4 linked regions of the Alligator mississippiensis genome follow. The protein of the gene in region 3 purifies or fractionates together with the protein of the main gene of each other region. This does not show direct contact. Links are inferred from orthologs where the notes say so. Each region holds a gene or a part of one and is shown on either strand. Other genes may lie near its edges. The genes, in order: YAF2, BRD8, MAX and MNT.

Region 1 (7,382 bases), on a different chromosome or scaffold from region 3:
CAGATGTGACTTTGTTTTGGATTCTAAACAGAACTGTGTAGATGCATCTCTAGGCCAGCGTGAAGCCCCAGATTAAAAAACAGCTCTCTATGGGAACAAGGGTTTACCAACAAAAAACCAACTCAGAATCAAAGCTTACAATCTGCATGCATGTGAATCATGTACCCAAGTATCTAACAGGTATGAGTAAATCCAAGACTTGGCATAATGACAACGTAGAAATGGGATCCATTTCAGTCTTATAGGGAAAAAAGATTTCAAACAACTTTGTTTTTTTTAAGTGGGGGAAATGGAAATCAATAAATCTACTTAAACTGTGCCTAGCAAAACTTCACTAAATAATGAAAAACAAAATTAAATCTTCATTTTTTTTACTGTATAATATCACTTGTTTGCCAGAGCTCTCTTTTACCCAATGCCACCTTTAAAAATTAATACTTTTGTTCAAGTGATTTTCCAGAACAATAAATCACTATTTTAACTGGCTTTGACTCCTTAATAAAGGCAATGAGAGGCTGTCATCTTCATTTGTACTAAACTTGTTTGGGGAATTTTGCACTCACTCTTTCAGCATTATAATTTTCTGCTGAATGTTACTGGTCTGTAAAAAAAAAAAAAAAAGGTATAGCTGTGAAAACTGATATAAGAATAAAGCCAATCTTCTTTTTGTCACTGAATAACACCATATTCATGAGATGTATTTTTGCTTACCAACCATACCTGACTGATTTTCTCATAAAAATTCCTTCTACAAACTACCTTTTTAAAACTAACCTTAAGTTATTAAAAATACTTTAGAAAGTGAATTACGTTTTTCACAAATCTAATACATGCACATTGCAAATGCAGATGAGTCTTTCATATAAAGTTAATCTATTCACTTTTGCAATTCTGTAGTTCAAACACTGTTTTATCATACGTTTGTTGATGGAGTTGTATTCAGTATTTCCATGGCTGAAATAAAGTTTACTTCACTCAATAGGACTGTGGTTTCTATTATTTTTAGACTCGTTTTTGTTAATAGGATGAAACAATAAGCATAGTCATACAAACTTATACACACAAAAGACTGCACAATTGTATTCTTGTTGATTCTGCAGAATTCCCCATCCTCCTATCCAGGTTCCACCCTACTAATATTAACCTACAGAGACATAGGTCAAAACCAGTGAAATCACTGCACCATTTTGACAGAAAAAGGGTCTTCTAATAAGTCACTGATTAGTCCAGGCAGGGAGGTGGGGGGCTTCTGCATCCTATAATTCAGCCCATTTAGGCTCCTTTCCAGAAAGAATAAATTCCCCACCTCTACAGAAACTAAATCTGCAGGACAAGGTGGAACAAAATGGACAAGAGAATGGGCAGGCCTTTAAAAGCAGTAGCTTTCCACCTTATTAAGACTCAAGGCACCCATCAGGAGGCTCAGGGCGCCCCTCAGGAAATAGCCGCATCTTACTTTTCATTCCTCTGTTGCCTACAGAAAGACAGGAGGGCAATTCTTCCGCTGCTGCATGCTCAGAAAGACCCCAACAGGCCAGACTGCCAACCATGCCGCCAACTTCTTTTTGGAAACCTTGTGGCACCCTTGGAAGAGTCTAATGCACTGGGATACACGTGTGGTGGGGGGAAGCACTCATGGGCACCGTCCACAGCCCCTTTCGAAGGATCTGATGCACTGGGATGCGTGTGGTGGGGGGAAGCACCCACGGGCACCCTCCGCAGCACCCTCGCAAGAATGCGATGCACTAGAGGCGAAGCACCCACGGGCACCCTCTGCTGTACCCTTGCAAGAATCTGACCCACTAGGGTGCATGTGTTGGGGGGACACCCACATGCACCCTCTGCAGCACCCTTGGAAGGATCTGATGCACCAGGATGTGTGTGGTGGGGGAAGCACCCACGGGCACCCTCCGCAGCACCCTCGCAAGAACATGACACACTGGGGGCGAAGCACCCACAGGCACCCTCTGAGGCAGCCTGACAAGACTCTGACCCACTGGGGTGCCTGTTGGGGGACAAAGCACCCACAGGTACTGTCCGCAGCACCCTTAGAAGAATCTGACGCACGGGGGGAGGGCAATAGAGGGGAAAGCTCCCATGGGTACCCTCCGCAGTACCCTTGCAAGAATCTGACCCACTGGGGTGCATGTGATGGTGGGAGCACCCATGGGCACCCTCTGCAGCACCCTTGTAAGAATCCAATGCGCTGGGGTGCGTCTGGGGGGGAAGGACGCATCTGGGTGAGAATCACTGCTTTAAAGGGAGACAGATGAGCAGGACAAGGTGGGGGGATGGGGCTGGAGAGGGCAGGGGCGGCTGCATCCGAGGGGAAACGGGAGCAGCCCCGGGGCCCGGATCCGCCTCGCCCTGCGCGCCAGGCCGCTGTGTCCCCCCTCCTCCCAGCGCCCCCGCGGCCGCCGCCGGCTTTTGTTGTGCGCGGCGGCACAGCTCGGCGCTCCGGGGTCCCGCGGGCCGGGGCCGGGGCGGGCGGTACTCACCGGGTGGAGGTGCCCTTCCTCACATCGCACATCATGCACTTGAAGGCCTCGGCGCTGTTGCGGAAGGTGCAGACGCTGCAGTCCCAGTAGCCCTCGTCCGAAGAGGGTTTCGGCTGCCGCTTCGGCCTGCAACGCACACCACAGCGGGAGGGAGACAGGCGCGGCGCCCAGCCGCCCCGCGCCCGCCCGCCCTGGCCCCGGCCCCGGCCCCGGCCCCGGCCCCGGCCTCCCGCCCGCGCGGCCCCCGCCCCTACCTGGTCGGGCTCTTCTTGTCTCCCATGCCGGCTCCAGACGCGTCCGCAGCCCGGCCCGGCCCCGCGCCGCGCGGCCCTTTGTGTATGTGTCACTGAGGAGGAGCGAGCGAGCGAGCGAGCGAGCGCGGGCGGGCGGGCGGGCGGGCGGGGGAGGGAGGGAGGGAGGGAGGGAAGGAGGGGGCTCTGCCTGCACCGGGCCCCGGGGAGGAGGAGCCGCCGCCACCTCCAGCTGTCGGGGAACTCCTGCCGCCGCCGCTGCCCCCTCCCGCCTCACGTGCCGCCCGCCGCCAACCAGCGCCCCCCGCAGCCCAGCAGCGCCGGAGGAGGCGGAGCAGCAGCGCACGCAGGGGCAGTCAGCGCCGCCGGCCCGCCCAGGGGGAGGCCTGCACGGCCGCCCTGCGCCCGGGCGCGGGACCCCGGAGCGGGCGCTCCCCTGCTGAGACCTGGGGAGGGCAGGGAGGATTCCCCCCTGCTCGGGCTGTGGGGCCTCTTCCTGGGGTTTCTGGAGGGCACGTTAGCCCTTGCCCGCGCCGTGGCCCTGCTGTCCCGGGCTGCGCTGGGGTGTCCTGTCTTGTGGCAGGGCTTGTTTTGCTAAATTGTTCTGGGATTAGGGTTGGCAACCCTGCAGGATTGCCCTAGAGTCTCCCGGATTAGATACAGATCTCCAGGAGAGCCACCTGGGAGATAAATGATAGGGCATTCCTTAAGCTAAATATTAAATGTTGAATCTGACTTATACAGTAGGCCCCAGTGGGTTTTTTAAATGTAATAGGAATGTGCATTTGCCTCCCTGACCTCAACTCTACGCACAGCGCAGGCCACTGGTGCCTCCCCCTACACATCGCCAATGATGCACGGTAATGTGTAACTGATACACACAAGTTCACATTGTCTGTCATGGGCATGTGGGTGTTCCAGGCACCTCCTGGAATAGATGCAAACAGAGTTGGGAACCCTAGTTGGGGTGGGGCGGTTTGGGTAGGGGTGGGCCTGCCTTAGGCAGGGGAGTGGCTGGACCAGTGGTTTTCAATGTCTGAGGGGCCCATAAACATGGCTACCAGCAGTCACAAGGGCTCCACTCAACATTTTTTAGGGATCTGCAAATGGAAAAAGGTTGAAAACCATTGGACGAGGTGACCTCTGGGGGTCCGTTCCAGCCCTGCTCCTCTGGGGTTCCAGTAGGTGAGAGAACAGACCTGCTCTGCAGTGATGGCACGTGCGTTTCATGCAGGCTGTAAACACATTGCTGTACTGTCCACCTTGCATACCTGTGACAGCCATTTGTGTTTACTATTTAAGACAGTCTGTGCTGTCATGTTGTGTCCTGTATAAAGGCTGATGGCAGGCCAAGCCTCAGAGAGCCAATATTCAGTCCAAAAGATCCAATCCTTCCACCTCTTCAAACTTTACTTCTCCTTCTCATGCAAAGACCAGGCCTCAGAAATCCATGGGTTGGTCAGCTGGATAAGGGTATCCATGGGACTGGATAAGGGTATTTCCCTGAATATAAATCTGAAAGCAATGTGGAGGTTTCATAGCTAGTGCAGAATGAGGCTTCTCACCTTCTCTGTGGGGTGGGCAAAGGGCTGGCTCAGTATGCTACTACTGCTACTTCAAGGCCTTAGTGGGCGCATCTACACAAGATCTTAATATGTTTTAGACTAAGTCTAGTGCGCATTAGCGTGGCTGGCAAAACTGCGCTAATGCCCAATATACTTAGTGTAATGCACTTTAACATCACAAAAAAGCGTTTGCTGTAATGCGCGGTAGCATCAATTACAGCACATTTAATACCTATCATTACAGGTAGTAAACTTAATGTGCTGTGATTACGGTGCATTAATGAACATGTAGACATGCCCAGTTATTCTCTTCTGAGGAATTAATTGATCTGGCCCTGAGTAAATTCAAGACTATATTACCATCTAGGGCTAGGAACTTCCAAGATAGCTGCATTCCTCTGGAACAATGTTGGTCAAAGCTCAGGACAAAGAACACAAAGCCACAGAGAATGAAGCATTCTCTGTTGATGACAAATGGAATAACAATCCAGATGACATTTAAACTAATTCAGAATCTGATCATTTCAAATCGGTGTGGAAACCCTTCCTTCTTTAATCAAGTTTTCACATTATTCTAGAATGATATTTGTAACAGCTAGCCCATTCCATGATAAAAATGGTACCACTCCCGTGAAGGTCCATTAGGAAGCTAGCCATGGAACTGCATTAGGGTGAAAAGCATTCATATATTCAGGACAATCCCTAGGCAACACAAATTGGGGCAACTACCCTGGGCCCCATGCTCTGGGGGGGGCCCACAGAGCCAGGCGGAGCGGCCGCGGCGACTCCATGCTGCCACCAGCTTCATGTCTGGCCATTTGGCAGTCCCCACACTGCCTAATCTGCTGCTGGCTTCCTTGCGTCCTGGGGTAGGGCCCTGAACAGGCTGATTTGCCTTGGGCCCCACACCCCACTCTGATCATCTCTGCATATATTAATATCAGCAGTAAGCCAGAATGCCTCAGCTCAGGTGTGGCAGGGCACTGTTGGTGTCTGCCACGTTAAGGGCTGAGACAAGCAGTCAGCAGGTGCTTGATTGTGGCGGCCATTTTAGATCTCTGGCTGCCTATATAAACAGAGCAGTTCGGTACTGGCAGGCTAGATAGAAACATTGCCTGGCTGCAAGGCTGTAGGTAATATCCTGGTGGTACAGGCAGGAGCTTAAAGGGATGATTTGGAGGTTCCTGGTCCTGGGCATGACCTAAAACTGCACCCTGCTGGGAGTGGGTGGCCTGGTGGTGCAGGAACCCCCAGGAAATACCAGGCCAGTTACCACCCCGGTGAAAGGTGGGTTGGGGTGCCTTAACTCCTAGCCCCCATAATACTATGGGTACAAGGGGGCCAGGCATGGCTATGGCCACCTGAGCCCAAGGATGGTGTAAGACCCAGACAGGGCTAGGCATGGCTGCAGCCACCTTAAATCTCCACTGGGGAGGGAAGCCCTGTGGCCCCAGTGAGGGGGTGGGTGTGGAGCCCCAGTGAGGGGGAAACCAGAGGGCTGGGAGCCCAGTATGTGTGTGAGTGTATAGAGTTGCCTAGTATGGGGTGCAGTTAGCCTAGGGTTTGGCATAATGCCGGACCATGCAAAGTAGGGGAACTCATGGGAACTGAAGGGGCTGCGTGGTGAGGCCAGTGTGCGAGTAGCAAAGCCTGATAGCCCAGAGGAGTTGCTCGAGGAGGAGCAGGGCAATGGAGTGTGGCCTGGTAATGAGCAGTATGCCAGAGGCCTGGGTGAGAGAGGGGCGGAGTGGAAGAGGCCTCCTGTGAGAGGGGAGGTGACATGAATGTGCATGTGTGTAAAGCCCAACTTTGGACTTGGTTTGTTCTGGTCTGAGGCCAAGAGTAATATTAACCTGGATGCCATCTGTGAGGCTTGGGCTGTGGTGTAGGGGAGGAACAGAGCTGCAGATAACGCCCCCTGGCATCAGGGCAAGAATAGGCAGCCTTCCGCCTAATTAACACCATAATTATGTATCATCAAGGTGTGGCAGATGAGGAGGCAGGCGGTTGGCCCAGAAACAGGTGGGTGGGCCAATCACAGACCAGCCCCGAGAAAGCCCTGTGTTACATCAGGTCCACGGTAGGCCAGCGCTAAGACCTGCCCATGACTGCTCCTTGCCATAGCTGCAAGGTCTTGGTGCAAGTGTACCTTCTCCCTTCCCTCCCTGCACCTTAACTCCTCAGGCTAGATCTGAAATTGTGGGCTATAGGTGAGAGAGGCATATCTGAAAGAGGGAGAGGCAGATCTGAAATTGTAAGCTAGCTCACCCTCAGGTCCCCATTCCCTGCAGCAAGGGCAGAGGAAGGATGTGGGAGCCTGGAGACTTGCAGCCAGAGTGATGAGGGAAGCAGCAACTGGGTGAGATCTAGGGCTGGGTGGGTCACACGCACAGATATATTTTTGTTGTTATGGATTCTTAAGTACAAATAAAAAAAAAAAAATATTGCCATGGGATCCTCATCCCTGAATGGGACTCCTAAAAACTGTGGGAACAGAAGTTATTGTCTTCACACAGTTAATTCAAATTAACTTTAAACTTCCAAAACCATCCAGAGTCTCTTGCCCTGGCTTCCTTCCCACCCCCAAGCCAGCATTCACAGTTCTGTACAGCAGTGATAATAGTTCATTCCTTTTAAAAAATTTTAAGTCTGAATATCCTGCTCTATTTGGTATGTGGGGTTTTTTTGGTGTTTTTTTTTGTCCTGACTTCTTCCAGCCCTCCTCCATTACAGTCCACCAACACCATCACTCTTCCTGCCCTCCATACCCTTCACCGTATTACCCTATTACCCTTCCCAGTTCTTTTGCTTTTGTTCTTTCCCTTATACTGTCACACAGAGCCTAGTCTGCATGAGGGATACAGCTTAGGGGCTCCACTGCTGAGCTGGATACGTAGTGGGGGGTCCAGTGCTCAACTGGATACCTGGATGCTGTGAAGAAATCGTAAGATTAGAAACAATGGGAAAACCTGACTCCTTGTGCCCTTTTCCCTCTTGCCCTTGCTCCACTATACATAGGAACATATTCTTTCTTCCAACTGAGAGAGCAATGATTTTGAAATAACCTC
Region 2 (7,662 bases), on a different chromosome or scaffold from region 3:
AACAGACAATTCTACACTAACTTTTTCACAGAGCAAATGCCTTTCTCTACTCATACGAAACACGTGTGGTTACTAACCTAGGCCAGGAGTGTTTGCATTCCTGTCAAATTTTTACCCTCGTTAATTCAACTTTGGAAAAAGACTTTTACTATCCATGCCTACGTATAAATCCATCTCAGAAGCCCATGTCAGTCATTTATGCACAGCAGAGACATAAATACTACTTTCAAACACTACAAATTTCCTTAGGCATCAATTACCAACACCAGTGCCCAGATTCAGAGCAAGAGATGAACACTACAGCTTTCACTGGTACAAAGCTAGTGTCCAGGAGAAGAATAGGGTTTCATTTGCCCCTCCCTAAACAATCCTCAAATACTGCAGGTACATAAAAGGCAACATAAAATATTAGCTCTCCTGCTCATCATTCTTACTAGCTTCTATTCTCCCAAATTTTCAGTATTCTGAGCTGTAATTTTAAGCACACAATTTTTGTTTTATAAGTTTAATTTGTTTCATTTTAAGATCTGCTGTATAAAAAAGAACAAAGCTATTTTAGTATGCAATCTATGTCCTTTTAAAAGTAAGTTATTTTTAAAAAAGCAGCATTTTTATAGAAATTACCACACACTATGTTGCCTCTCTAGCTTCCTCAAACCAGCAAGCTGAGAGCTGTGCTGGGAACTGCAGCCTAGATGCCTCAATACCTGTAACCCACTGGTTCAGGGATGAGTACAGGAGTGGTGTGAATGAGCACTCAGGATAGCACAATGACCAGTTCTAGAACCACTTACATTTGAAATGGTCCAGTCCTTTGAGCTAAGTAACAAAACATACAAAAATGAGCAAAACGCTCTAGGTAATATTACCTACCCAGCATCTCCTGTTAGGTTAGGGGGTAATTTCAAACAACGGCCCTACTCTGCTCACTTTCCACACCCACACAGTGTGACCAGATTTCTCTGCCGTGCCTGCGCCTCCTTGCTCAGTAGCAGCCAATGCACTGTCTGATGCACTGATGACACCTCCGCCCCGCCAGAGGTACTGCAGACACCACATGCCTCAGCCTTTGCACTCACTTGGGAGTCTCTGTGGTCTCCAGGAGTTCCGAATACTGAGATGCGCAGTGCTAAGGAGAAACAGAGGGAGTCAGAGCACACAGAACAGTCAACACAGCCAATTCAGTTTATTGGCAAAGCTCTTGGGTTCCCTCCTCTAACAGCCAGGTAGCCTTTGAGCATGTTTTCATGTTTCCCATACTAGTACTGTAGCAGGAAAATACTGCCACAGTACTAGTATGGGAAGCTGCAGTGACTTCCCAAGCTGCTGTGTACCCAATGCATCTATAAGGAGGGTCAGCTAGCACCACAGAGTCAGCTCTGTAATGCCAAATAAAAACTAGGAAAGAATAAATTAAATTAAAAAGGTGGCCCCACAAATTAACACGTCCTCCCCTGGTTTTCCAAGATCCTGATCTTTGAACAGTCATACTCCAAAATATCAGTGCTAGTAATAGAACAGGTTGAATACAACATGATGCTTAAAATTACAAATCTAAACTATGATTTCAAATCAACAACCAAAAATCTTTGATTTAAATAATAAATTATAATCCCATTTTGCATTTATATCGTTTAGCTATTCGCACTGAATGAGCTGAATAAGTGAAATAGAAAAAACACCTCTTTTCATCTGCAGAAGACTTGTGCAACAGTTTGGCTGGCGCTGCAATAGACTCAAGGCCAGGTGCTCAGACAGTGACTTCCACAAATTTAGGGGTGTTGGACCTAGCCGCGTTGGTCTAAGGACACTGGAGGTCAAGGCTCGTTGGGTAAATCCAATATCACTCCACCCAGGAAGAGCACAGACCATCTGCGGATGCTTCCTCAGCCTGACAAAGGGTGTTTGTGCCCAAAAGCTGGCTTAGAAGAATGTTTCCAACTACTTGAGTTGGTCTGATGAGAGATATCGCATTTATCCAAAGACTCGTCTCCCACAAATTTAGCAATTTTGCTTTCTTTGAAGTTTGGTAGCATGCGTGTAATGTGTTAGCTCTGTCTAATACCCTTTTATCAAATTATATCAAGTTTAGACCATAAAACAATATACTTTGTTTTATTTTCACATATGCTTTCATATAAATTTTAGTTTTAGAGAAAAACGAAGCAAAGCTGTTTGACGTTTAAATTAAAAGTCTTATTTAACGTTTTAAGTGGCCACTTTTCTACCCCTCTACTTGGCCGAAACTGGAGTCCCTTGAGCAAGAGCTCCCCGGCAGCGGGAAGTGCCTCCGCCTCCCCCTTACCTTCTGAGAGAACCAGTCAGGTGGGCGGCCCGGCTCGGCAAAGGGCTTGATGGCCCTGCTGACTGACACCCTGCGGGGGAGAGAAGCGGGTGAAGCCCTGCCTCCTGCCCTCGCCAGCGCCCGCTCAAGCCACACCGGGCTGCTCCCGCCGAGCTGACGCCGCTGCGACGCCTGAACAGCTTCCCTGCTCGCGGCGGCGCCGCCTGGCCAGCGCCCAAGCGCAGCCCGAGCACGGCTGATGGCTCGTGCACCGGCCCGCGCAAACAGAGCCAGGATTCAAGTCCTGCTGAACGGCAGCGACAAGCCAGGCCCTCGCCTCGCTTGTCCCGCAGCCCGGCTCCGTCCCCGTCCCCATCCCCGCAGCCGGCACCACCGCGACGACGGCCCAACCCCCGCCGCGCCGCGGCTCTCACCAGTTCTGGTCGCCGCTCCGCATGACGGAGGAGGCCAGGCACAGCTTCTCGCGGACGGACCACGGCTCCGTGGGGCCGGCGCTCAGCAGCTTGTGCTCTGCGGGGACGGACGGGCCTCTCAGGGGCGGGCGGGCAGGGCCTGCCCCCCCTCGGCTCCCCCAGCCCCGCCCGCCAACTCCCCGCTCCGCCCCGGGCCGCCCCGGCCCGTCCCCGGCCCCACGGCACTCACTGCCCGTGCCCGCCGCCATCTTCGCCGCCAGGCCCGGGCCAGAGGCGGGGCCCACCGCAAAGGTCGCCGGGAAGCGGCGCGCGGGCTGCCGGGAAGGCTGCCCGGCCCCGCCCCCAGCCTCTCTCTGGCCGGCGGCTCGGAGCGCGCGCTGATTGGCCGGCGGCTCGGAGCGCGCGCTGATTGGCCGGCGGCTCGGAGCGCGCGGTTTGAAACCACAGCACCCGCTGCTGCCCCCGAGGTCAGCGTGGCCCGGCCCGGGCCGGGGGGAGGGGGCGGCTTCACTGCCTCAGCGCAGCCTGAAGGACGGCCGGCCGGCCGGCCGGGGGCCGAGGAGGCTGTTGCCGACCGACCCGCCCGCCCTCCCGCCCGCTCTCTCTCGCAGGCCCCGCCATGGCGCAGGCCGCGCTGTCGCCGCTCGCTCCCGCGCTGTTCTCGGACGAGGAGGCCGCGTCGTCCCCGGTGCTCGAGTCTACGGCGGCCGAGCTGGGCCGGGCCGCGCGCCGGGACCTGCTCTCCGACTTCTCCGCCATCTGGCCCGCCGCGGCGGGCGGCCCGCAGGTGAGGGGGGCGGGGCCGGGGCCGGGCGGCGCTCGCGGGCCTCACCCGGGGCCGTGTGTGACCCCCGCTCTCCGCAGGCGGACCCCGAGGACGGTGCCAGGCTGAGGGTGCACCTGCGGGTCCGGCCTCTGACGCCGGCCGAGCTGGAGAAGCGGGAGGACCAGGTGAGGCGGGGGCGGCGGCTTTGGGGGGGGAGGGCCCCCGCCCCCCGCCCCCCGCCCCGGCTGAGGCTCCGCACTCCTCAGGGCTGCGTCTGCATCGAGAGCCCGGAGACGCTGCTCCTGCGGGCGCCCGCGGACTCCTTCGCCATGCGCAGCACGGAGCGCGGCGTGGGCCAGGCGGCGCACAGGTTCACCTTCACGCAGGTAGGTGGGTGCCCGTGGGCGCGGCGCGGCACGGCGGCCCTGCCGTTCACGCAGCTTTGCGCTGACGGCACCGGGGCCGCCCGCACCAGCCCCTGGTGTCTCCCTTCCCCCGCCCCGTCCCTGCGTCCGTCTGCTGCGCGTTGTCTCGTGCTCGCGGAGCAGGAGCCCTCGTCTTGCTGTCTGTCCGGTCGGCGCCCGGCGCAGCTGGCCCCCGGGCACGTCTAGCGCTCCTAGGATTATGTGGATGGAGCAGCCTGGGCCGGCTCTGCCGGGGTTCGGGTGGGGTCGGAGGTGGGTGGCAGTCCAGGACGAGCAGGGCTGCAGCAGGCCGGAGAGGGAAGTCCCGCGCACGCCCCTGTGATCATGTTTGCAGATCTTCGGCCCAGACGTCGGACAAAAGACGTTCTTTGACGCGACCATGAAGGAGCTGGTGCAGGATGTGCTGAACGGGCAAAACTGGCTGGTTTATACCTATGGCATCACCAACTCGGGGAAGACTCACACCATCCAGGGTGAGCGAGGCATCAGGTGTTGGCATACCTGGTCTCCTCGGAGGGAAGAAGTGCTGCTGTGTTGTGACTGAGCTCTGCTCACTGCTGTCCTCTCCTCCAGGGAGCAGCAAGGACGGTGGGATTCTGCCCCGCTCCCTAGCACTCATCTTCAATAGCGTGGGAGAGCAGCTCTACCGAGCCATGGATCTCAAGCCCTCGCTCTCCAGCGAGGTGGCCTGGCTAGACAGCCGGCAGGTTCAACAAGAAGAGACCAAGAAGCTGGCCTTGCTGCACGGGGGATTACGGGAGGTGAGTGCTCTTCTCCGTCCGCTGGGGAAGGACGAGGGTGCCCTGCACCAGCCTCACGTTCTGCCTGTTTCCTAGGAGCTGCTGACTCCACTGAAGAGGAGCCACAACACCGAGTCCCAGCTCCAGGCTGCCACTAGCAGCAGTTATGACAGTGGAGTGGGTGGCCTCTCGTCTACCAGCCAATTTGCCAACCACTCCGAGAGCAGCCAGCTGGACAGTATGTCTGGGACCCTACTGTGCCGGGGGAAGGGCAAGTCCTGGGTAGGAGGGGATGAAGCACACTTTGGGCAGGGGTAGAAACTCTCCCTTGTCTCCTCCAATCTGCTGGGGCTGCTGCAATCCCTACCACCCCCTCTGATTCTCCTCTGAAACCTAGGGTCTCGCTGGGCTGATCCAGACTGTGTCTCGCTCCATGCCTCGGGAGACGTGCAGTTCTCCATATGGGTCTCCTTTTTTGAGATTTACAACGAACAGATCTACGACTTGCTAGAGCCGGCTCTGCCTGGCCCGAACCGCAAGAGGCAGACGCTGCGGCTGTGTGAAGACCCGAGCGGCAATCCCTATGTCAAAGGTAGAAACTGACCCAGCAGCACTCTGGGGAAGGACCCTGCTGGATCATTCTCTCTCCTTCAGGAGACAGTAGTAACCTGGGGTGGATAAGAGAAATGTCGAGTGGCCAGGAGCGCCCATGGAAAGCAAGCAGTAGTAGGGGGAGGGATACTGCTCTAGGGCAGCAGCTCTCAACCTTTTTTGTACCAGGACCCATTTGTGAACATCAGCGGCCAGTCCTGCCCCAGTGCCTCTCACTCTTGACCTGCTAGGCCCCAGCCCCCCTGTGTGTGGGTTATGGGGGGCGGAAGGGGGGTGGGGCATGGTGGGAGAGACCCAAACAGCTCCTCATAGGTTGAAACTCTGCAAGGGAAAAGCCACAATTTCCTGCATTTTTCTTGTGGGAAAAGGAGAATCCATTTTTTAAGTCTGTTTGTGACCCTTTTGAGATATTCTTGTGATCCACTTTTGGGTCTCGACCCATGGGTTGAGAAACGCTGCCCTAGGGCATTTTTATACACAGTCAGCAGTTCCCTTCTGCTGAACTTGGGCTGGTATCCCTCAGGAGGCCCAAACAATGCAGGGAAGTTCAGCTTGGCTGTTGGCAGCAGTGAAGCCTAGGATGCGGTAGGTAGCCAGGGCCTGGGAAGGCAAACCACGTCTATCTGTACCACTTTCCCACCTGTCTGCTCTTTCAGATCTGAACTGGATCCACGTCCAAGATGCCGACGAGGCCTGGAAGCTCCTGAAGCTGGGTCAGAAAAACCAGAGCTTTGCCAGCACTCACCTGAACCAGAACTCCAGCCGCAGGTTGGGGGCAGGGAGAGGAGAGGAATGGTCTCCAGCAGGTTGTGGCGGGGAGGGCTCATTTTATGGAACTAGGTGCTGGACTGGTGCCAGAGGTGGTCGTTGCATGTTCCATTCAAGTGTATTTTTTTTTTTTTGTCCTTGCTCCCTGCAGTCACAGCATCTTCTCCATCCGGATTCTTCACCTAACAGGGGGCAGCAGTGAGATGATCCCCAAAATCAGCGAGTGAGTGCTTGGGGATGATCCTGCCATGAGCAAGAGGGGGTTGGACCAGTGACCACCTGAGGGCCCTGCTAGCCTGGCTCTGATTCTCAGATTGCATGAGCTCTCCAGGCCATGGTGCTGTTATGGATCTTTGGGGGCCTTCAGAAGGTGGAACTCACTGCGGGGGTGGAGAGCAGCTGTTGTGCATGTGTCCCACTGCTCCCTTTGGAGAGAGCAACAAAGCTGCTCTGGGAAGCACAAAAACATCCTGCATCAGCATGAGCATGGCTGACTGACCCCATCCCTGCGTCCAAGGAGGCCCTCATGACAGCTGCTGCTGAGCAGCTTAACACTCATGTCTGGGATGCAGCAAGCTGGACATACTTGCTGGATCCGTGCTTGGAAAGCAGCACCCAACAGGGAATTTCTGGGTGAGCTTGGGCCCCTGACCTGAGCTTGGTAGTGTTGTTTGAAACAAACCTCCTAGAAGAGATGGCTGAGCTGTCCTGAGGCTCGAGTGGGTGCATGACAACACATGGACTGTAATCACAGCAGTGCCCTGGGTCTCTTCCAGACTGTCCCTGTGTGACCTTGCTGGCTCAGAGCGTTGCAAGGACCAGAAGAGCGGGGACCGAATGAAGGAGGCAAACAACATCAACACCTCTCTGCACACGCTAGGCCGCTGCATTGCTGCCCTGCGCCAGAACCAGCAGTCCAAGTGAGTAGCTTGGGGACCAGGGTGGTACGGGGGCTACCCACATACTTTTCTGCAGGCTCAGCACATTTGTGCTCTTCCAACAGGCTGAAGCTGGTTGTGGTTCCCTTCCGGGACAGCAAGCTGACCCGTGTGTTCCAGGGATTCTTCACAGGGCGTGGGCGCTCCTCCATGATCGTCAACATTAGCCAGTGTGCGTCCATGTATGATGAAACCCTGCATGTGGCCAAGTTCTCAGCACTCGCCAGCCAGGTCAGTGAGATGCGCAAGTGCTGCGGTCCCTGGCAGTGCAGGGGCTTCTCTGGATCTTCCATGAACCCCGTGGCTGGCTTGGATCTCAGGCCTCCTCCAGCTCCTATGCAAGTGAGCTGCTGCCCTTCGGTGCAAGTGGGTGAGGCAGTCCTTGCCAAGGTGCACTGTGCTCCCAGGTCCTGCCATCTTGCACAGTGAGGCTGGCTGTGACAAGAGAGCACTGGCCTGATGCCATCAGGTCTGCAGGCAATGTAGGCTCATGTCAGCAACCTGTTTTCTCTTCAGCTTGTTCAAGCTCCTGCAAAAGTGGTTCTCCCATCCATCCAGTCCATCATGAGGGAACACAGACGTCTTAGCCAGAGCTCAGAAGCAGGCCCAAAGCAGGAAATAGAATCTGACGAAGAGGGTGGAGATGAAGCAGATGTGTCCTTGTATAACAAGGAGGTGGGTGGTGTCTGTCTTGC
Region 3 (7,610 bases):
GAGCCACAAGAACTCTTCAGAATGCCCAGATGTGTCACAGTCTAGGCAATCCCTACAAATTAAACAATCAAGCAGGTGGCCTGAGAAATACCAAACTCTGCAAATGAATACCAGCTCTTGAAAAGCAGCTCCCTGGGAGCCCGTGGTCAAACACTGTGGCCCCGTCACCCAACAAGCCAGCCTTATTCACCAGCATTTGGACTTTGCAACCTAGATTATCTAGACTGGAGGTTTTTGGAAGTGCTGGAGGAGAGCAGCACCACAATTGCTCTGAGGCTGGGGACACAGAGGAATGTATCAGCCAAACTAGAACACTCAGAATCTAAAACCGACTCAAACTGGTTCTAAACTTGGTGTCCCCCTATAACTCACTGAAAATCAACCTGCCCAAATGAAGAGAATTCCTCCACTTCCTATATATTTGAACTGCTGCCAATAGCACAGGACATTGCTGTGTCTGCACCATGATGAGTCTTAAGCAGAAGAAAACCTTTTACTTGAGGGCACGGATCAAGGGGATGCAACACGTGCATGCTCGCTCTGGGATTCCATAGAAAACTGCAGGCCTTGGCACATGCTTGGTCCCGCCTGGCAGCCTGCCACAAGGAAAGGCAGACTTCAGAAAGGGCTCCTGCTTGTGGTCAGCAATCCCACGAGCCCAGGATCTCAGCACAGCAGCTCCCAATATGCACCTGGGTCCCCCAACCTCAGAGATGGACCCTTGCACAAACCCTCACCATTCGTGGCACCCAACCCTGCTCCACGTCCAAAACTCACACCACCTGCTTCTTACAACAGCTGCAATTCCCCTATAGTCTCAGCTGACAGTCTACAGCAGCCTCTCCCCTCAAAACAGCGAACACATAGCAAGAAAGAGTAGACACAGCCTACAGCACACTGCCAGTCCTGCTCCATACCTAACCTCCAGCGTGGCCCATGCACACCACTCCCTCCCCGACTCACTTTCATGCCTTGCCTCAATCAATCCCAAGAGTTAATCCCACCACACATTGTCCTACCCTAGATCCACTACAACATACAATCCAGTCCACATGCATCCCAACAGACCAACCTGACTTAAGCCTACTCCCACAACTCTTCCCGTTGCAGCCTACCCCTGCATGTGCCCCACAACACTCACCCCACCACCACTGCTCTATCCCACTCAAACACAGCTGGCCCCTTCACCTAGAAACAATCTGCACCCTGATGTACAGGGACAATCCCAGCCCAAAATATTTCCCTCCCCACCCCAGATCCCTGCCTATACATACCTGGCCTAGACCATCCTCCCCCCAACCTCTTCCCATATTCAAACCTGGCAGCGCCCATTTCCCCCCACAACCCTGGCCTAGCCCCTTTTGATGTCAGCCCATCCCTACACCAAGCTGAGACCATTTTGCCAATGGGTGACTGGTGCCACCTTAGTGAGGGGGGCACGTGGCCCCCCCCAGCGACAAGTCAGTGACCTGTCACAAAGCCAAGGTCTGGAACGGGCTCCCAAGGGAGGTGGTGCTCTCCCCTACCCTGGGGGTCTTCAAGAGGAGGTTAGATGAGTATCTAGCTGGGGTCATCTAGACCCAGCACTCTTTCCTGCTTATGCAGGGGGTCAGACTCAATGATCTATTGAGGTCCCTTCCAACCCTAACATCTATGAATCTATGAAAAAGCAGCTGCGGTGCTCCTAGAAGCAGGGGGGGGGGGAGCCCTCTGTGGTGTCACCCCCAGCGACCTGAGCGGCGAGTGCAGCCAGTCAGGGGGTGCACCAGCACTCACACGGGATGCACGTGCACCCACTACGCATCACCCATAATTTGGCCTCAACTTGGGTCACCGCATGCCTCACTGAGACCACTGCCCCCACTATCCCTGCCCATGCATAGACACAGCTTAGATTGCTCTGCTGCCTCCTACCCACATACACATTTGGCACAGACCATTCCCCCTCAGCACCTGCATTACTGGTTAAGATCAGTACATGCCCACCTGCACACCACCTCTTGCCCCCATCCTGTGCTGGGCTGAGACCACTCACATGCCAGGCGAGATTGCTTCCATCTGACCTCTGCCCCCCGCCACCAGGCCCAACCCAGAGCATTGCACCCCCCCTCAATCTCTGCCCAGATGTTTCCAGCACACATCCTCCCTCCCAGCACATAAATGCATCCTACTAGACCATTCTCTGCAGCTCACCCATCTGCCCTGGCCCACGCATGCCTGCCTGTCCTTGGTCCCTCTGCCCCAAGCACGCTTGCTCTTGTCACACACAAGCAGCAAGGATCCCAGCCTGTCACATGTCCTGCCCAGCTTAGCCCCCCTAGCACAAACAGATGTGCGCCGTCCCACCCAATAGGAAGACGTGCACTCTGCAGGCGAGGGTCTCCCCAAGCATCGCACACCTGTGCCTGCATCTGCCAGTCTGGTCTGCCCCACGTGCCCCAGCTGGTTCACCCTGGCGGGACTCCCACGCACACGGCACCCGGTGCCTTGTGCAGCCCACGCCAGTGCCCACCCGCAGCTGGACCCACCCCACGGCCCTCCCTGCCCGCGGCCGCGCCTCCCCCGCCCCCGCCGGTCGGCCCATGCAGACGCGCGGCCGTGGCGCCGCGCACAGACGCCGGGTCTAGGGCGAGGCCCCCGCCGCCCCGGCCCCTCCCCACCCCGGGCGGCGGCGCTGCTGGGCCGGGCCGGGCCGGCGGGAAGCAAGGAAAGGCACGTACCGCAGACTGAAACCTCGGCTGCTCCTCCTGCAAGGAGAGAGAGACAGAGAAACACACGCGTTACTGCGCCGCCGCCCGCCCGCCCGCCCGCCCGCGGCACTGCCAAGCCGAGCCGGGCCGGGCCGGGCCAGACCAGACCGAGCCGACGGGGTGGGGGGGGTGCGGCACTCACGTCGCTCTCCACCTCGATGTCATCGTTGTCGCTCATACTGCCGGGCCGGGCCTGCGGGCGCTGCGAGCCGAGCCGAGCCGAGCCGAGCGGGGCCACGGGCAGCACAACAACAGCAGCCGCAGCAGCCGCCCGCACCGCGCAGCCGCCGCCGCCCCGCGGCCGCCCCTGCTCCGCGGGGGCCGCTGGGGGATGGAGTTCGGGCCGCCCGGCCGCCACCGGCGCCCGCCCCCGCCGAACTACCACTCCCGGAGGCCCCCGCGCAGCCCGGTCCCTGCCAGCGCCCCCGCGCGCCTGCGCAGTGGTGGGCGCGGTGCATGCTGGGGGCTGCAGTCCCGGCGAAGGAGGAAGGACTCCGCTTCCCAGCAGCCGGGGAAGGACACGTGGATGGGGCGGCGCGGCCCTGCTTCCGCTCGGGGGGGGAAGGCGTCGTACGGGTCCTCACTCCCTCCCTCGCAGCTCCGAGCCCTGCCCCGGGCGCGCGGGGGACAAGCCTCCTGCATAAGAGGCGGGTGCAGGCGGAGGGAGAGCGCACAGGCCCCTCCGAACAGATACTCGGGAACCAGCGCCTCGCGTTCAAGAGTTGTGAAAGACTTGGCCGAGAACCCCTACGCGCCCTTCCTACTCACTCACGGCGTGCGGGCGGGAACAGCGGCACACACCGCCTGCCCTGCCGGAGCGGAGGCCGCGGTGGGCTGCCCACTGCGGGGAGCCCCGCGCACGTCTGGGGGCACGTGCCCCCTGCCCGGGACTAAGCGGCGGCGAGTTGCGGCCGCACATGCCCCCCAGACTGACCTGCATGCGGGAAGCAGCAGCTCTCGCCTCGCACGCGGCTGCCTCCGGCCCGGCCTTGTGCAGGGCTGTGCGCAGTCACGTGGCGCCTGCGCGTCCGCCCCCAGCAGGCCCCGCGGGCTGCAAGCTGCTGGACAGCGCCCTTTCCCGCCCTGAACGAAGCACCTGCCGCCCGGGTCGGGGACTGGAGGTTTCTAGATTGGGACTTTCTCTTCCGACGAGGGGCGGGTGATCACTGCTTACTAGCGGCATGTCAGGTGTTCATCAGGTTGAAGGGGGCAGGCCTGGGTGATGGTGGGTAACAGTGGTGGTGAGCAAAATCCTGGGATGCCCTTGGCAAAGATGGCAGCTTAGGGCATGGGCGACTGGTGCCTCCCCAGGCGGGGGCAGGGAGCACTTAGCGCAACAGCAGCCAGTCAATGATCAAGGGGGTCCCCCCGTGGCTGATCACACCAATCCAGAAGTGCTGTGCTGCTGGCACTTCCGGGTCGCGCAACACTTCTGGATCAGCGGGGTGGGCTGTGGTCAGCACGATGGACCGTGGGAGGACTGCAGGGATTGCTTCTCCTGGCACCCCCACTCCCCAGCTGGCGCTCTCAGGGCGGACACCAGCGCTCTTGCCTGCCCCACCTGCCCATCACCTAAGCAAGGAGTTGCGCATTTGGTTGGCCAAGTTAACTGTGCTACCAGAACAGGCTTCTCTAACATTTCATGTTATGATTGAAAAAGAGCGTTGTCCACTGTTGGTATTAGAGCTGCACCAATACATCAGTCCAGTATCGGATTGGCACCGATATAAAGAAAACTGACTGTATTGGAAATTGGCTTGATGTAGCCAATTAATGCTCTGTGCGTGCCCACAGCCACAGCACAGCATGTAGGTAACAAGGAGCACAGCTCAGTAGCAAGGAAAGCTGCGTGTAGCTGGTAAGTCTGTTGTAGTGGAAGGGGCATGGGCAGATCAAGGCCCCCATGGTGAGGGAGGGAGTGGGGCTGCAGCAGGTGCTGCCCAGCTGGGGCAGGGTGGGGTGTGGGACACAGCTGGGGCTCGGGGGTGCAAGGATGGGGGAGCTGCTCCCACCACTGCATGCACCCCAGGAGGGCATGGGGGGGGGCTTGTGGCCCCCTGATCAGGGCAGGCTGCAGCTGTGGGCTGGGGCCAGGGCTGCACCGGGCTCTTCCCAGTGGGGACTGGGCTAGGCTGCACTCAGGGTGGGCAGTGTTGCTGGGAGGGGGGTTGAGTGGCTATGACAAATTTTGGGGTGGCTGCAGCTCCGCCCATCCACCATAGCTGCCATTGCCTAGCCCAGCCCTTGCTGGGAAAAGCCCAGCACAACCCCGGCCCGCAGCTGCAGCCCACTCTGCCCGGCCCCACACAGATCCAGGGGCACGTGCTCCCCATGCCCTCCCAGGGTGTGTGCAGCAGCAGGAGCTGCCCCCACCCCCCCTTCCTGTACCTCCCAGATGAGCTATGACTCCCATCCCGCACCCTGCCCTGCCCCAGCCCCACTCTCTCCCTCCCTCACCACAGGGGCCTTGATCTGCCCCTCCATGCCCATTCCCTCCCCACTCCCCCTTCCACCACAACAGACTTAGCAGCTGGACCCGGCTCTTCAAGCTGCCTGGCTGCGTATTGGAAATTGGATTGGTATCGGCCGATATGCCTCCTTAAAAATCGGCTATCAGTACCGGCCCCAAAAAGGTCCATCAGTGCACCCCTAGTTGCTATGGTCAGCATGGCATGGACCCAGGACTGACTTGGCAGAGGCCACACGCAGGGCTGGACTAATCCTTTAGTGTTCCTTACGCAAACAAACTCGTGAGCCCCAGGTTGGTTGAGATCATAGCCACGGCAAAGCAGGCAGAGGGGAGGGGAAGGGAGGCAGATGGGGCCGTTTGTGCTGCTGCCGTAGAGGAAAGGACCAAGGCCCCTGCAGCCCAGGGCCCTAGGCATGTGCCTAGTATGTGTTAATCCGGCCCTGATCACACAAGTCTTTGTCAATGGCAGGGCCAGAAGAGAACACCTGCAATTGTAGAAACCATTTCCATGGGGAGTGTTTCTCAGGGTTCCTGTGAGTCAGACTCAACTCAGCAGCCTGTGTGGTAAGAGATAGTCACCCTTCAGGCCTTTTATTCTGCTTCCAAATAGATTGGCGTAGCACAGGTTCCATGTCACAGTCACTCTCCCTTTGTCCCAGCCAAGGTATTCTGAGAATCCCATCTCCTCCCTTGGGATTGTGCTGCCTGGCCATCACTGGGCCAGTAACTCCTGTTACTTGCTCTGGCCCAGCTTTTGCTGGCTTATATGAGATCCAAGTGATCTCCTAGGCATCACCTCAACCCTATCTTCTCTGCATCTGCTGGGGGCCAGGTAGCTAGTCACAAGTGGGATGAGGCCCAAGTCCTTTCAAGTGCCAGCTGTCCTGTGCCCAAAATCCATCTGCAGCCCAGGGTAGAAGTAGAAGCATACAGACAGATGCCACCAAGCTGTGCAGAGTAGAAGCAGGTCAGCTCTGCAACATCATCCGTATCATTTCATAGCTTAGTTAAGGCCGCAAATTATGTATCTGGGGGAGCTGAGCTGGCTGGGGAGTGCATCCTGGATGGCAATGATGCTGAGATAGGATCAGATAACCTCAGGGGCGGGTCTGGGATTTGGCAAAGTGGGGTTCAGGAGCAGCCAGCTGAGCACCCCCCACTCCCAGATTCCACTCCCACAACCCACCTGTTGGGGAAACAGCACTGCAGGAGCCTCTGGGAGCATTTTAAAGGTCCCAGAGCAGGTGAGCATCCCCCAAACTCTCCTTCTCTTCTTCCCCCTCCAATCATGCTGCCTTCCCTGCTGTTGGGGTGGGGGTGGGGGTGGGGGAAAGCTTCAGAGCTGCTCTTGCCCACTCCTGCAGGGCTGTGCAGGGGCTGGGCTTAGCTGAGAACAGCAGTTAGAATGGGGGGGGGGGGTCCAATTTCCCAGACCCCACAAGAGCAGGGGAAGGAAGCTGCTGTTGCTGTCACTGCCCTAGGTGAGCCCAGCCCTCTCCCATACCCCAACAGTCCAGTTGGAGTAGACAGGAACAGCTCTGAAGTTTCCCCCACCCCCAGAACAACAAGGAAATGCAGCAGTAACTGGCTGCTTTCCCCAGACTGGCTCTAGCAGCACTGTCCAGGCCAAAAGGGGGTGGTGGGATGTAGCCACCCCACTGCACTCCCTCTGTATCTGCCCCTGAATAACCTCTGAATGGTATCTGATGGGGCAGCTGGGACCCAAGCATGACTGTTGGGTGTGAAATGGAACAGAAGTAGAGTTTGAGGCTGTTTTGGGGAGGGGAGGGGGAAGTTGGGGAAACAGTTCCTGAGCTCTTGGTGTAGTGCTAGTGTTTGCACTGCATGCAGGAGACTGGAAAAGACCTACAAGGAGACATGGAGGCCTCCTCTGAGCACAGACATAAGATCAGATTAGCAGTGTGTGGGGGCTTCTCATGGAGCAGCCAACCTGCGGCAACAGTCCATGTGTCTGCAAATTGTAGCAGGGTTCCCTAACCCCTGCTGCTAAGAGAATAAGAAGGCAGTGTTAGAGGGCTGCAATCTGGTGGGCGGTTAAGGCAGGGATAGCTAGAGAAGAGTAAACAGGTATCTAAAGAACTGGATAGACTGCAATAGATAGGAGCAGGCTGAGTAATAAACTAAGCAGAAACTCCTGGGTCAGTCAGATGTCATGTGATTGGAAGAGGTGGAACGCCAGTATGTTAAAAGCCTAGCTCCAGAGCTAGAAGTTGGGTCTAGCCTTGAGTTGTGGGATGGGAAGGGTTTTTGAGAATACAGGGTGTAATAAGGGACCCCAGGCAACATGGGTACTGTGGGAGGCTAGACAGCAGGTGGACTGAAGGCAAGAAGTTGCTGGGCCCCAGAGACTCCATATAATGGTGTGGACA
Region 4 (7,888 bases), on a different chromosome or scaffold from region 3:
CCTCAGTCTCCTTGTCAGTAAAACAGAAATAATTATGTTTACCCCAGTAGTGGTGAAGACTGATTAATTTGTATTTCATATTACGTTATAGATGAAAAGTGATGAGTATGGCTGCTGTAACCGATCTGCTCTGAATGTTGAAGATTTCAAGCAGCTTGATAAGGCAGAGTAGTCTTGATGCCAGAGTAAGGCAGCGTGCTGAGGAAGAAGAGAGGATTCTTGGCACGGGGCTATGCCAGAAGATCCTTTCCTCCATTTCTTGAGTTTTCTAGGACTTAGCTGCTATTAGCAAGGTAGAGGTAAAAGGCAACTTTTTCCCTGGTCCTCTGGCAAGAAAAAATATGTTTTGGTGGGTGATTTGGGTTACCTTATTTTTAAGGCAAAGTTTAAAGCTGTGAGGGCCAGCCTTTTTGGTAGACACGCCACAAATTCACCCCAAGTGCAATTCCCGTGCCATTCCCTTACTCAATTGGTTGCATTGCCTTCTGCTCTCTGCCTTGTGCTTCCTGTCTGGTTTGCTGCTCTACTTTCTGCTCCCTGCCATATCTGCCACTGCCTTTCCCCTCTTTGATTTGCCATGTGCCACCCCTGGCTGGCCACTCCTGGTCTAGAGCATTTAGACTTGTATCCACTGTCTGTGATGGGGGAAGGGATTATGTTAGGAATTACACTGTGATGTCAAACCCAGATGTGCCCTTGGGATGGGCAAGGACAAGCACATTTAAAATCATGCTGGTGGGATAAGGCTAACCCTAGGGAGAATTTCTAATACACTAGCTTTGAGCATATGATCATGTCTCAGTCTCCACACAGCCAGTTGTTATCTTACAACTAAAGGAGCTCACATTCTTAGCTCAAATGGTAGATGCAATGAGGTATGCCAGCAAGAGACTGGGTAGTATTTTCTGGCCTCATTCAGGGGAAGTGGGGCAGGATTACAATGAGTTATATTGCATCACAGGTTGGAGATCAGTATCTATTGATTCAACTGTCTCCTGTTAGAGTCTGGTGGTGCTGAGGATCCCAGGTGCATCCCTTACTGATGGCCATGGTGTTGGTCTGGGCAGATGGCCATGGCTCATTATGAACTCTAGGGACCAATAGCAGTTCTGCCATAAAAAAACTGAAGCTTCAGTGCATAGCTGGTGTTACAGTCATGCCATCAGGGTGGTTGCATCCTTTTGGTACCCATCTTATCCCAAATGCTGGATGAGGGTGGGAGCAGCAGCTGGGGGAGGGATTGGGACAAAAGAAAAGTAAATAGATTGGAGGAACTGATAATTGTCTCCAAATGTTTGGTGTGCTTCTGTGGAGATGTGTCAGGTCAGCATTGCTCCATGAAGGTCAGCAGAAGTAGAGTGCTGATAACAGCCCAAGATTTCTCTAATTGCTTCATCATCACTGTAGGGATCATTGTTACTCCTTCTGTCTCTTCTCAGCATAACTTTGCTAAGTGTCTCATCAGTTACGCTTGAAGCCACAAAGGAGCTGCAAAAATTTTACCTCTGGGTCACTGACTTTCTCATCAAATTTTGCTTTTTGCTTTGCTCATCAAATTGTGATTTTGTACTAGGTTGCACTTGTTCCCTTTTCTCCTGCTTGGTCTTTTCAGGCTCAATCTGAAACCTGCCAAAGTCAAAGGGAGTCTTCTGACTGTCTTCACTGGGCTTTGGATCTGATCCTTAGTCCTAAACAGTTGTGTCCTAGATGTCTTCTGTAAATAATACAATAGGAAGAAGGTGGTTTTGCGATATTGTAGAACTGGGAGTCAGGCGTCCCAGGTTCTGTTCTTAGCTTTACAGGCTCATTTTACAACCTGGTCTGAACAGTTTAATCTCTGATCTGTAGGTTCTGTCTGCAAAATTAGGATAGTATTTATCTTACCTACCACTTGAGGGTGTTGTGAGGCTTGTTACATTAACGGTAGTCAGTCAAACGCCTTCTGTCCTCCAGACAGACGGTGCAACAGAAATAACAAGTATTGTTTGATTCTGGTTTCAATGCACAGACAGTAACCTCACGGGGATCAGTCCAGAGGTTTTCCACACAAGAGAAAGGAGATGTCCACAGTGCCCTAGGGATCATTCTGCTGGCTCCTGGTATAACTAGAGGGAGGGGGGAGGTTGCTTCTCAAAGACCGATTTTGCCATTGCAGCCTCTGAGCCTGGGAGTGGATCTATGGACACTTTGGTAACGAGCTCCAAGTTATTTACTGCCGAGAAGCTGACTGTTCAAACCAAACTGTATTTAAAGAGAAGGCATTGCTCCAGGAAGGGGAACGGGTTTTCCCCGGGATCTCTGGAGCACGTACTGACAGCATTGCAGGGAGGCAGGTTTCCCCTGCTTTACCCGGGGCCGCTTGGGAGGCTGGGGCTGTGTCGTGCCAGGGCTGGCGGCTGTCTCAGCTGATGCACGACGCCGGGAGGGGCTGGACAGGGATGATCCCGCCTCCGTCCCTCCCTGCCCCACTTCTGTCGGACCGGGGCAGCGCAGTCTGCGCGGATCGCGCCGGTCCCGCTGCCCGGGAGGGGGGCGGAGGCGGAAAACGTGGCGATGCCGGACCTAGCCCAACCCCGGCGCCGCCTCCCTCGGGGCAGCAAGCACCCACGTGGGCGCGGCGCGGCCTCCAGCGTCCCTGCAGACCTGGCCCCGCTCTCCCCGGCCCACGTGCCCCGCTGCGGGAGCAGCCGGCGGCGAACAGGGAGCCCCGGGCGCCGGGCCCTTTAAAGGGGGCGCCGCGGGCGGCGGACGGAGCAGGGCGCCCATGTGGAGCTGCTCCATGCCGTGTTGTTCTCCCAGCCCATTGGCCCGCAGCCGGGTGACATATTTTAATAGGATGCAAACGCAGTGCGGGGGGAGGATCCGCTGCAAAACTCGGCGCCGGAGTCCGCTGTGCCCGGCTCGGAGGGTGGGAGCCCATCTCTACCCCTCCGCTGTCATCTCGCCGCTGCTCGGCACAGCCCAGCTGCCAGCTCCTAAAGAAGGTTGCCGGTCCTTGCCCTTCACAGCCCCCTCCCTCCTGCAGCCCTGCCCAGGGCGTTGTTGGGGCCCTGGGCAAGAGAGTCATTTGAGGCCCCTTAATGTTGATGACCTAAAAGCAAGTCGGACGTTTTCGATTTCATTTTCACTTCGCCCTAGCCATGAAACTGCAATGAAAGTATCTTAATACAATATTGATCAAACAAATATTCAGTGTAATTTATTTTTATAAAGTGTGGGGCCTCCTGCGGTTGCCTGGTTTGCCCCCTCCTAAGCCCACTACTGGCCTGCCCCTGTCAGGCGTTGGGCCCTGGGCATCGTGTAGCAGTCCAAAGCCCTGTCCAATGCCATGCAGACAAGACGCCCTACAAGTCTTGTAATTAGCTTCCCAGTGGCCAGCTTCCAGTGGCTGCACCCCTGCTTTATGGAAAGGATGCAGACAAATTGGAGAAAGTCCAGTGGAGGGCAGCAAAAATGGTTCAGGGGCTGGGGCACACAACTTCTGAGGAGAGGCTGAGGGAACTGGGTTTATTTAGTCTGCAGAAGAGAAGACTGAGGGGGGATTTGGTAGCAGCCTTCAACTCCCTGCCGGGGGGGATCCAAAGAGGATGGTGCTGGGCTGTTCTCAGTGGGGGCAGATGACAGAACAAGGAGCCTTGGGCTCAAGTTGCAGCAAGGGCAGTTGAGGTTGTATATTAGGAAAACCTTTCTTACTAGCGGGGTGGTGAACCACTGCAACAGGTTATCTAGAGAGGTGCTGGACTCTTCATCCTTGGAGGTTTTTAAGACCCAGCTAGACAAAGCCGTGGCTGGGATGATCTGGTTGGGGCTGGTCCTGCTTTGAGCAGGGGGTAGACTAGATGTGACCTTCTCAGATCCCTTCCCCACCATGACTAACAACAACAAATCCAGGTTGCAATAAAGCTTCCTAAAGACACAGAGTCTAGGCCATAATGGGTTGCAGGAGGGGTGAGATTTTTTTTCCTGGTTGCAATACATCTTGGTAGAGACATAGGGTCTAGGCCGGGGAATGGCAACATTTTTGGACAGAGTGCCAAGAACATCTGCAAACTGGGCTTACAAGATGTTGGTGTGCCAGGAACCACTGGTGGGGGAGCCACAAGGGGCCCGATCCTTATTGTGGCAGGGAGGTGGCCGGGGCTGTGCTGCCATCTGCCCTGAGGTGTGCGTGCCAAGCAAAATGCCTTTGTGACTGTGCCACACTCTGGCACCTGTGCCAGGGGTTGCCTACCCCTGGGCTAGGCCTAGCCATGAGACTTTGCAGGAGGAGTGAGATTTTTTCCCCCAGTCGCAATATATCTTGGTAAAGACACAGGATCTAGGCTTCTCCAGGATGGTTTAAAGGAGGGGTGACATTTTTTCCCCAGTTGCAATATATCAAACTAGCTGGGTACCTAGCTGGGGTCATTTGAGCTTTAACTTAGCAGGGGTCATAAGAGCCATGTATTCATTCCTGCCAGGGGCAGGGGGTCGGACTAGATGATCTGCTCAGGTCCCCTCCAACCCTACATCTATGAATCTATTTTGGTAAAGACACAGGGTCTAGGCCTAGCCAGGACAGTTTGCAAGAGGGGTGAGATCTTTTGTACATATTATTATGACTCTATTTCATGTTCCAGGTCGAATCAGTTCAAAATCATATGGCCTGAGCAGGTGAGATGCGCATCTCCCTGGAGCACCCACTAGTAAAACGAAATCCATAAAGCAGAGAGATTGAAGGAGTAAACCTGCCCTCCCCCCCCCCGCAGACACCTCGCCCGGAGTTAACTCCACCCCTGCACCCGGCGTGCACAGCCCCAGTCCGGCCAGCGGCGGGGATCCAGGCCGGGTTTCCCCCGTCGCCCGCCTGTAGTAGCCCAGGGCAGTGTCAGTCCTTTTTCCTTGTTGTGTTTCTGTTACTCATCGCCATCTTGTTGCAAACCCTTTTCTTGTCTGCAAGACTCGCCGGGGATTGGGCTGGGGGGGTGCTTTGCAGGGGCATTTTTGCACGGGGGGACAGACCAGGCGAAGGAACCCCCTCTATCCGAGCCTCCGGGATTGTGGCCCCTCCACCGCAAGGCAGCCCGAGAGATGAGCATTGAGACGCTGTTGGAAGCAGCCAGGTTTCTGGAATGGCAAGCCCAGCAACAACAGAAGACACGTGGTAAGGGGGGACAGCGCGGAAAACCGGGATCCGAGCTCTTTAAAGACACAGGACACCATTTCCCGCCGGCGGGGAAGCGACAGCGCCTTTCTCGGGGCCCGAGACCCGGCTGCGGGGCCGGGGCGTGCAGGGCGCCTCTTGCTTTTCGAGCTGATTTTGCAGCGGGGGGTGAAACCATCTTCCCCCCTTGAATAAAAGGAGGGTGGCAGGCAGGCAGGGGGCTCGGGCTTTTTTGCGGGGTGGGAGCGGAGCTCGGAGGAGGGAGGTGCTGACACATCCTTGCAAGGGCTCGGGGGAGCCTGGGGTTCCCGGAGATCCGCTCCCCTCCCTCCCCTCCCCCCGGGTCTAGCCCGGCTCGGCTCTGATCCCGGAGCCTGTCTCGCTCGCAGGCTGCAAACAGACTCTTTGATTAGTTTTTCTCTTTGCTTAAACGGTGCAAACAGTCGCATGCGAAAAGTAAGTAGCCATGGAAGCATGGGTTTGTTTTTTTTTCCCCTTTCTTTCCTGAAAACGGGTTTTTATCGTGAATGGGTTGGGAGACACGGGGTTTCAATGCGTCAAAAATGCACCCCCCCCCAAGCTGTTCTCCTGGCCGGCAGGCTCATGCCTGGGCTCGCATTTCCTGGTGGGGAGGATCTGCCTCCGCGGTCGTGGGCTTAGGGCGGTGGCAGGGCTCCAGCGGAGCGGGCTGAGGCTGCCTTTGCATAATGCAATGACACGGAGCGTCAGATGATACGCGGCAGTTCCTCCTCCCTCCCTCGTGTGTGATACATTGCACACGGCCTCCTCCCTCCCTTCCTCCCTCCCGCGTGCGTGTGTGTGTGTGTGCGCACATCCCCTCCCTTCCTGGAAACGTGCAGGGCCGGGGCGCCCGTGTCCCCGGGATCCCTCGTGGGCAGACGGGCCCGGCCCGCGGGCCGCCCCTCCCCCTTGGAATGTTGCGTGTCGCCGCGTTCCAAGCGCCTTAGTTCCAACCGGGGGCGGATGACGTGGCAGGCCCCGCCCCCTCCCACGTGCGCCGGGCCCCGCCCTCCGGGGCGCTGCGGGGCTGCTCCGCCGCTGCACTTTCGTTCTGGCCACGGGCGGGGGAGGAGGGAGGGGGGCTCCCGGCGGAGGTTTCCGCTCTCGGCTTGCCCATGGCAGCTACCCAGTCCTGCAGGGGCTGGGAGGAGGGAGCTGTTCTGGGCCGAAAGACTGAAAATCGAATAAAAAATAGGTCATCCAAGAATATTTGAATATTGCCCCCCCCCCATCTGCACTCCCCATGACTGTTTCATTCTTGCTTGCAGTTAACAAACATCCTGTTTCTTGCTCTCGCACATGCACACAGTTGTGGTGAAATCGATACTGTGTTAACCTCCATTATACTCCACGCTCTTTCGGGCTGATCCAGGGATTCCCGCTTGCTCCTAGGGAGGTTCCCTTTGTGTTTGGATGGGTTTTAAGGGCAGCTTTCAAATCATCTTCCTGGGACCGATAAAGAATTGATGCAGCGTGGGGGGTATTTCACTTTGCTTGTGCTTTGTGGGGGTGGTTTTGGCTGGGGAAATCTCATGCAAATAGCTTCCACCGTGAATCTACTTCAGAATAAAAAAAAAAGAACTCGCAGGGCCTTTCTGACCATTGTGAGAGCGAGGCAGGCCTGCGGAGGTTAAGCAATAGGGTAGGGAAACCCTGCTTCCAATGCATCACCTTTTCAGCAGCGTGGTCCAATCATCCTAATTACAGATAGCAAATACTGCTTGGCAGGGATGCCACCCTTTTCCTGTGTGCCCTCCCTATATTCTTTGTTGACCCTAATCCAATGCAGTTCACTCCTATAAGAACAAGGTTGACCTTTTCCAGAGGAAAAAAGGCAGTGTGTGTATGTGTGTGAGAGAGAGAGAGGAGCTGTGTGTGTGTGGGGGGGGGGGGTGAAGCATTAATACAGTGAATTTCACTGAATTTTAAAACCAGGTTCTTGAAAATTGTGCTATGCAGTCTCGTTTCTCCCATTTATGTGTGTATTTTTCTGTCTGTATGTTGTAAAGGGTGATGGAGCTGTAATGCAGCATTAGCTCAATGACACTGGTGTATACCTGCTGCAAAAGCAAGGATCTGTTCCCTTTGTGTGTCATTGCTGTGGGATGTAGCTGAAAATCTATTGTTTCACTGATGAGTCATGCAGGAGATAGTGGATGTTATGAAGAAGGGCAGCTTGGAGGGAATGGGTAGAAAAGCTTCCGGGATAACTAAGGAAGGAAACTATCCAGTGTAAGCCTACAGACTATCACAACACCCCCTCTTACACTGGGGCTAACATTGCTGAGGCCAAGCGTCACGCCTACACCCAGGAGCAGCACAGCTTTCAAAAATAAAAAAAGGGGTTCAGTTCATGCATCTGCTTCACAGTCTCCATGTTCAGACTTACTCCCTGGTTGGTGTGCATATTGTGGTGCCTCACTAACACACTCTGATCACCGTGTGCCAATAGAACAGGCTGGATGCATGAGGTGTGGTGTGAGGCTGTGCTGCTTATCATGCAATCATCCTCTTGGGTTGGGGGGGTGGGGTATTTTTTTTCAGGCCCCCAGAAATGAGCTAGGCACATCTTCAGAACAAAGATACAGCTCTTGCCACAGCCTGCAAGCTCTGTTCAGCGTGCCACAACAAGCAAAGATCACGTGCACAGGGCAGGGCAATGGTAGTAAGTCAGAAAAGGGGACAAGAGTGGCGCAGGTCAGTGAGGCTTTGAGTCATCTTGGC

What was found.
Region 1: the proteins of MAX (region 3) and YAF2 purify together in Homo sapiens (affinity purification with mass spectrometry; 3 studies listed by BioGRID and IntAct, with this or other methods). This does not show direct contact. The link is inferred for Alligator mississippiensis from reciprocal best matches to the Homo sapiens genes MAX and YAF2.
Region 2: the proteins of MAX (region 3) and BRD8 purify together in Homo sapiens (affinity purification with mass spectrometry; 3 studies listed by BioGRID, with this or other methods). This does not show direct contact. The link is inferred for Alligator mississippiensis from reciprocal best matches to the Homo sapiens genes MAX and BRD8.
Region 4: the proteins of MAX (region 3) and MNT purify together in Homo sapiens (affinity purification with mass spectrometry; 7 studies listed by BioGRID and IntAct, with this or other methods). This does not show direct contact. The link is inferred for Alligator mississippiensis from reciprocal best matches to the Homo sapiens genes MAX and MNT.

Annotation. Positions count from the first base shown.
Region 1 is NC_081827.1:58,022,618-58,029,999, forward strand, and holds the start of YAF2 (YY1-associated factor 2), read right to left. Parts: upstream 3,006-7,382; 5' UTR 2,779-3,005; coding exon 2,753-2,778; intron 2,625-2,752; coding exon 2,499-2,624; intron 1-2,498. UniProt on the Homo sapiens protein: Binds to MYC and inhibits MYC-mediated transactivation. Also binds to MYCN and enhances MYCN-dependent transcriptional activation. Increases calpain 2-mediated proteolysis of YY1 in vitro.
Region 2 is NC_081832.1:79,523,590-79,531,251, forward strand, and holds the start of BRD8 (bromodomain-containing protein 8), read right to left. Parts: upstream 3,036-7,662; 5' UTR 2,967-3,035; coding exon 2,948-2,966; intron 2,816-2,947; coding exon 2,719-2,815; intron 2,376-2,718; coding exon 2,306-2,375; intron 1,130-2,305; coding exon 1,080-1,129; intron 1-1,079. Other genes in the region: kinesin-like protein KIF20A, read left to right, coding at 3,338-3,505, 3,583-3,669, 3,751-3,870, 4,244-4,382, 4,483-4,670, 4,746-4,887, 5,047-5,241, 5,918-6,029 and 4 more. UniProt on the Homo sapiens protein: May act as a coactivator during transcriptional activation by hormone-activated nuclear receptors (NR). Isoform 2 stimulates transcriptional activation by AR/DHTR, ESR1/NR3A1, RXRA/NR2B1 and THRB/ERBA2.
Region 3 is NC_081825.1:171,679,911-171,687,520, forward strand, and holds the start of MAX (protein max), read right to left. Parts: upstream 3,033-7,610; 5' UTR 2,929-3,032; coding exon 2,893-2,928; intron 2,748-2,892; coding exon 2,721-2,747; intron 1-2,720. UniProt on the Homo sapiens protein: Transcription regulator. Forms a sequence-specific DNA-binding protein complex with MYC or MAD which recognizes the core sequence 5'-CAC[GA]TG-3'. The MYC:MAX complex is a transcriptional activator, whereas the MAD:MAX complex is a repressor.
Region 4 is NC_081837.1:7,592,190-7,600,077, reverse strand, and holds the start of MNT (max-binding protein MNT), read left to right. Parts: upstream 1-4,875; 5' UTR 4,876-5,070; coding exon 5,071-5,143; intron 5,144-7,888. UniProt on the Homo sapiens protein: Binds DNA as a heterodimer with MAX and represses transcription. Binds to the canonical E box sequence 5'-CACGTG-3' and, with higher affinity, to 5'-CACGCG-3'.